2 linked regions of the Caenorhabditis elegans genome follow. The protein of the gene in region 2 interacts with the protein of the main gene of each other region in a biochemical or structural test. Each region holds a gene or a part of one and is shown on either strand. Other genes may lie near its edges.

Region 1 (3,756 bases), on a different chromosome or scaffold from region 2:
GTGCCTCTTATTGAAATCATGGATTCTGAAAAGAATTGGGTAAGGATATAATATTATTACAAATTAAAAAACCTTTGTATCTAGTGACCATTGTTCGATTTGATGTTGCCTCTGTATCATATACATTGAACTTTGACATACTAGCATACCACCGTATCCCGGGAAGTGTCCGTGCTTGATTTCGGAACCTAAAATGGGCAAAAAATTTAATATTCTATTTATTAAAGGTCTCGTTACCTTGTTGAATATTTATAGTAGAAAACAATTGCACTCGTCGAGTTGACAACAATAAGTACATTGTTGATGTCATTCATAAACCAACCAATATCTCCTCCAAAAGTCTCCTTGTCAAGAATTTCCCATATATTTAGAATAAATGAGAAGATGTAGCAAACGAGGAATACTGAAAGCTTCATGACTTTGTTGACTTTAATACTAAATTGTATTGGGGATATGTAAATAATTTTTTCATCAAATGCTATCCAAAAAATTTAATGTTTCTCAAAACTAGTGACTAATTTTAAGATTGGGTTTGTCCTCGCGGTAGGTAGAAAAAAATAAAACAAATTTTTACCGCAAATCCCTTCTATCAGTCTATGAGTGTGACCGTATTTTCATTTTCACGACCACTGAGCAAAAATCCGATTTCTAGAATATCCAAAAAATGAATCTTACCTAAAACAACCATTATCATCATTTTTGCAGTCGAATGTTCTCGTTTCACACTTGCCACTAGTTCTCTTCGTTGCTCGGATGCCTCGATAATTGTTCGCGCTACCTGGAAAATTGCTTTGTTAGAAAATTTGGGCAGTTACACTAAAACTAATCGTTTTTAGGATTACATGCTTTATCTAAATAAATAAAAATAATGTCCTACCTTCAGTTAAGTCTAGGATGTAATACTGACCCTACCCATGACTAATCCTCAGCCTAAGCACACGACCAAGCCTAAACGTAAGCCTAAGCCTAATACTCAGCCTAATCCTAAGCATACGACTCAGCCTAAGCTTAAGCCAAGGCCTAAGCCGAAACCTAAATCTAAGATTAAGCCTAAGACTAAGTTTAAGCTTAAACCTAAGCATACATCTAAGCATAAGCCTGAGCCTAAGGCCTACTCCTACTCCTCAACCCATTGTAACCAACTTACTTGAATGTTGAGAACACATAACACTGTAAGTGGAAATGCGAATTGCGACACCAACGTGGCAACATTCTGGTACCACAATAAGAAGTGCGGATTTGCTCGAAGCTTCGGTACAACAAGATCTTCAATCGTACGATTCTCAGGAGCGACATCGAAATTTATCGTGTACTCCCAAATTCGAATCAAATTGTAAGCAACACTGAATATCACGACAACTCCAACAGTTATGAGAGCGCGATTCCTTGTACAATACGTATTGACCATGAATGGATGACATACGGCTAAGTATCTGTCAATTGTTATGGATACCAGCAACCATACTGACACTGACTGGAACATTATGGTCACTGGATACAAGTACACCATGATCATTGCAGTAATTGTTGGCGGAATGACTTGTTGAAGTTGAGTACTTGCAAAAACTGGAATTGCAAGAACGCAGACGCAAAGGTCAGACATTGACAAGGCTGCGAGCAAGACGTTTATGCTCTTTTTCCGGAATGTTTTACGAGTGTAGATGTAGAATGAGATGAAGTTCGTGAGAATTCCACCAAAGCACATCAGCACCATCACGTTCACCAGAACCCGGGAGAGTAGTAGCAACATTGTTTTTGTGAGAGTTTAGTGGAAGTTGAAGATGTTTGTTGGTCAATTGTGCATTTATGAGCTGAAAATGCAAAAGTTCAAGGTGCGTAGAGGAACAGTGAATGCAAGGAAGAACACAGACAATAAGGGAAATATTATTTTCTAAGATACGCATGACGTCATAGCACTCTAATACTTTTAAAACCTTCTTTCTAGGCAGCCTAGGCTTACATTTTGCTGAGGCACCTAATGTAGAAATAGAAGGTGCGCACAACACCTGTGCACCACGCCATATAAAACATATTTAAAATACTAGCATCCTATAGAATACAGAACGTAAAAATAGAGATGTCCAAGAAAACTGAAGAAAAAATAAGAAAATGGAGGGAGGAAATTGAGCTAATTGATGAATATTGCTCAGCTGTTCATTTGGTGGCAACTGGAAACAGGGGCACAATTGTTCCTCTTCGGGGAACCCCATGTTCTTGAAATGCTCACAACTTCATCAAATTTTCCAGATAGGAAAAGATGGATCGCAAACAAAATAAAGCCTGCTAACTGACAGCTTCACCACACACACTCTCCAAACAACTTTAATAATTCATATAGATTCATCTCATCATAATGCACTTCCGTGGGGGTGGGACATATTCCTGAAATTAGTGCACGATTCTTTGTCATCAGATCCTGGATTCTGATTTTAGGTTTGGGCTTAGGCTTGGTTTAGACTCAGGCTTCAGATATTTGGCGTTGCCTATGGCTCAGACGTGCTTTCAAAAACAGGTGGGTACTGAGAATCCGAGTTATTTTTGGTCCTACAAAAATTGAGGAATTCGCATTTCTCCGAAAATTTTCATAAAAATCCGTTCTGTGACATTTTCCACGAAATTCTTTGAAATTCACAGAAATTCGCAGACACTTGAAAAAGGTTCGGAAAATTTTAGATTGTAAACTGAAGAGCCTACCATTGCGTCTTGTTTATTGTTGAAGTAAACAAGATGTACTTTTTTTTCTAATTTGATAGTTGAACCTTTAATGTTCCAACATTTATTCAAAAAGGTATAGGTAGGCACGTAGGTATGACATGATTAAAATTACCTGATCTTTTATTTTTTCCCCAGTATCTTTCTGCTAGAGAATTCAATTGACCTATTTGGAAAGGCTAGACTATAAAATGAAAAGGAACAAGAAAAAGTAATTATCAAGAATTTTTGCAACACTACCTGGTTCAGACGTGATCATTAATACTTGAAGCCCCCAAATAAAAACATTGAAGAAACAGAAGTGAAGAGCAAAAAGTAGGGAAAAAAAGAAAAGGAAAAACGCGAAGAAGATTCAGATAACAAAGGAGAAACGAACACGTTATGAGGGCAATTATTGGGTCCGGAGATGGGGAGCCACGAACAGCTTATGGGCGGGACGTACTTGAGCAACAAAGTGTAGGAGGTCCCGGGAAAGTTAGTTGCTAATTTATATCCTACTCATGAAAGCATTGGTTTTTTAAAGTACATTCAAACTCATTAAGAGAATCCGAAAAAAGCAAGTAGCTTGAAACCCCTTTCATTTTGAAATTTCGGAGGGATCAGGAAGTATTTGAATTAACAGAGGGATAAAGGGATATTTATATATTGAGCGCTAACGTAGGTGAAAGCATAAACTATGTCTAACTAATGAAAAAATACGGAGATCACTTCAAGGAGGTCTAGAAGTTTGCATTTTGTGAGCACGAAGAGGTGAAGTTCTATTTTTTATAAAGATTGGTGTTTGTTATGAAATATAAATATTTTCTATTCTTTAAAATTCTAGGAATACTCCTAAAGGTTTTATTATATCGAACAAGAAAACAAATAAAAATTGTGATCTAAAGGAATAACCAATTTTCAGAAAATAATGTTTGGAACTTGAACTACAAATTTGGAGCTTGCTGATAGATGTTTTAAGAAAAACTTCCAATATATTCAAATAAATAGGCGCAATTTTTTTTAAAGTAATAAAATTGTAGACGAATCCTGAAGACCGATCAACTT
Region 2 (3,361 bases):
CAGCGTAAGCTTCTAAAAATAAAGCTCTGAAACAAAGAAGATGTGAATTTTGATGAGCTGCTCGACCGGGGTGGAATCCCAAATGTGAAAGGCGGGCTTCCATGGTGATATCCTGACGACAGCGAGGTGATCAGCGCCAACTCCCTTCATGACATTTTTTCAGACGGTATATTTCGATCTAGTTGATCGAGGTTATTTGCCAAAATTCAAAAATGGAGAAGTAATTCTTTACGCAATCACGACGGGTTACGTTTTATGGAACGCTGTTGTTGAACCTAGAGCAATTCGAAGAGGATACCTCAACTTTCTTTTTGGACTTGTTGGTGGAAAGTAAGGATCTAACTAGCTGTAACAACTTGACTTTTTCATTGCAGGATCTCGCTTTTCAATCGACGTCTCTACGATCATTTTGGCTTTGTTTCTCGAGATGTTTACACGAAAATTCCAGAATTCGATCCTAAATATGCAATGATTAATCCTATGCTTTACATGCCACTTGTTGAATAGTTTTTGATCTAATATTTGAAAAAAAACAGGTGTAATATAAAAAAAATAAATTTAATTTTTAATTTGAATTTTCCGATTCAGATTTTAGAATTTAATTTTCTTTTGTTCACTATCTGAAAATGTGAAAAAAATAAACAAAGTGATTTTGCGAGTAATTAACAACGCCTTTATTGTTCATAGACAGAGCATAGAAATATCAGAAAATGTGTGTTGTTAGCTGATAAAAAACACCAAAAGAGATCTGGGGAGATAACTTTCCTTCGGAGGGAAAGGGGGGTTAAGCGACACCAATCAAATTCTAGACAGCAAGAGAGAGTATGAAAAAAGAGAGTGTGAGAGAGAAAAACATATGATTTTTAATGATGAATTCGCCTCAGGAGTTGTTCGAGCAGAAGACGGTCGTCCTCGGTCATTACTTGTTGTTGGCGAACTTGAGCTTCTGAAGAGTCGACAAAAGGTCGTGCATGTGGTCGAGTTGACCGGATCGGCCAAAGCGAACTGCAAAGCAAAATAAACGACACATGAAGCAAAGGCAAAAAGCGGAAGAAAAATTTTAAGACAACTTACCAAATGGTTGTGGGGCACCGTTCCGTTTTCCCTGGAGTGGGCTCTCTGGAGCAAAGTCTTCCTCGTCCAATGGAGACCTCTTTCCGAATCTAACGAGAGCATTTCTCATTCCACCACTAGCTCTTCCAAATCGAACCAAGGCGTTCCGCATGGCACGTTTCTCCGCACTACAATAGATTTATATGGGTAATTGATAAAAATTGTTTTAAGAAAAAACTATACCTGACGTCATCATAAGATTGAGCAAAAGAAGCGGCAACGAAGACAATAAGGAGAAGTGCCAATGCAGAGAATTGAGTCATTATTCAGTATGAACTGCAAAAAGTGAGACGAGCGGCTAGGCGCAGTCTTTTTATACCTGAAACGATGTATTAGGAGGGGGCGTTGTAGATTCCGAAGAGAAAGCAAATAGCCGCAGGACATACTTTATTACTATTTACAAATGGTTTGATGAGTTTTGAACGTTTTAATGAAAAATTTGCGAAATGGATTCTTCTCAAGGAAACTTCTTATGGAAAATAGGATGATGTCAATGGTTTCCAAAACGAAACCGAAGTGTAGGGTGTCTTTGGGCTTTTCAAAAGCAAGAAGTGAATAGATCAAATGCAGGTGTTCTGCGCTCTGAAACGTTCCACAGGCCACGCCTACTTGTGTGTGTGTGTGTGTGAGGAAACTGAGAAAAACGCAAGCAAAAAAGTCATCTTGAAAATAGCATTAAATTTCGGAAAGGAAGGAAAAGCTAGTTTTGCTTTTTTTAATAATGGAAAAAGTACTACAAAATGTGTACAATATTTTGTGAATATTTTGAGGACGCTTGTTCTAGTGTTCTTGAATTTTTAATTTAGAATTGTTATGAAGTTTTTATTCATTTCCAACAGATGCAGAGATTTTCTATACAGAAAACATTCTAATAATTATAATGTATATTTAAAAATTAAAACTTGCAAAAAAATTTCTTGAAAATTTACCAATTTGCCAAAACTTTAATTGAAAATTGTTGTAAAATTTGAAAAAGTTTGAAGTGTTTTATTAATACGTGTCTGGTTTTTTGGAAACATTTTACTTGGTCCAGCACTTTAACTGGCACTTCTCCCAATAAAAGATCGGTTTATTTCCAAAATGCGTGCCTAACTGTTATACCAAACAAATAAAGTTTTTTAAAAATCGGCAGTTGCCGCAAATTTCGCATTGTGTGCCGATGTGCCAAAATTGCCAGAATTTTTGATAATTTTTAATTTTCATCATATTTCAAAAATTAAAAATATATCAAAACTTGATTCAAAGTCATAATCAATAGGTCATTTTCTTACTGAAATACCTAATATTTTGAGGTTTATTGTTTAGCTAAATCACCAGTTCCGGCAATTGTTGGACTATAAACTTTTGGCAATATGCCGAAACTGCCGAAATTTCGACGCACTCCTGTTTACAGAAGATTGAAAAAAAGCAGAATTAGAAGTTTTAAAGTTGAGATATTGGTCAGAAAATCGATTTCATTTTTACGAAAAAAATATTCCAAAAAGTCACAATGGAAAGTTTGAAAAATGACCCGTATTTATATATTCGTGTGTCCTTGTTTGACATGAAACCTTCTTATCGTTTTTCAATCTCCCCCACTTTTGCACTTTTTTGAAAATCTTTCTTTACAAGAAGACGCACCTTGCAAAAAGTGCGCTCAAACACTGATTATGCCAAGCGAAACATGGGTGTGAAACTAGAAAAATAAATTAGATGCAAAATGGATTCGTCTATGCTTTTTCCTCAAATATTAAATGAGTTTACATCACTTGGCGCCGGGATTCGAACATCATAAATTTATGAGTTAGAAGATGCCCACGAAGGTAAGATGCGGAAATATTTGACACGTCAGCAGGTTGTTAAGTTTCGTCGTCACAGTTTTGCATCTTTTCGTATTTTAACTTATATTTTATAATCTTATATTCAATGGAGTGTGGGTGTTTGTGGGTGGAACCAGGATTGAGGATGCTAAAAGTTGTGGGGGAATTACTCTTAACAGATTGAAAAATGAAGTGCGAAAAGATATGAGGAACTCTACTGGAACTGATGGGCCATAAAACCATGAAAACCTCTCTCACCCCATTCATCAACTTTAGAGGCTCAACATTTGGAAAAAAAAGGTTTGGGCTTTTGGGATACTTGTTTTTCTTTCTCCAGATCTTTCCAACTTTGGGGAACTAGTAAGCCACAATGGTTTCATAGAACTTGATGAATAGTCAGAGGGAACAATGAAACCTACAATGAATCGAACATCAAATGAAACTTGATA

Evidence for each region.
Region 1: of the proteins of flp-11 (region 2) and frpr-3, one has a biochemical effect on the other in vitro, tested with the Caenorhabditis elegans proteins (one study listed by BioGRID).

Annotation. Positions count from the first base shown.
Region 1 is NC_003283.11:7,769,322-7,773,077, reverse strand, and holds the start of frpr-3 (G-protein coupled receptors family 1 profile domain-containing protein), read right to left. Parts: upstream 1,818-3,756; 5' UTR 1,751-1,817; coding exon 1,148-1,750; intron 779-1,147; coding exon 676-778; intron 404-675; coding exon 238-403; intron 189-237; coding exon 73-188; intron 26-72; coding exon 1-25.
Region 2 is NC_003284.9:4,676,691-4,680,051, forward strand, and holds flp-11 (SPLDEEDFAPESPLQ-amide), read right to left. Parts: upstream 1,433-3,361; 5' UTR 1,377-1,432; coding exon 1,297-1,376; intron 1,242-1,296; coding exon 1,075-1,241; coding exon of another isoform or gene 1,061-1,074; exon of another isoform or gene 1,006-1,060; coding exon 920-1,005; coding exon of another isoform or gene 864-919; 3' UTR 644-863; downstream 1-643. Other genes in the region: tmem-135 (Transmembrane protein 135 homolog), read left to right, coding at 164-330, 375-507. UniProt on the Caenorhabditis elegans protein: FMRFamides and FMRFamide-like peptides are neuropeptides. Induces sleep-like quiescence behavior following release from RIS interneuron. Helps to sustain locomotion stop after gamma-aminobutyric acid (GABA) induces fast slowing response.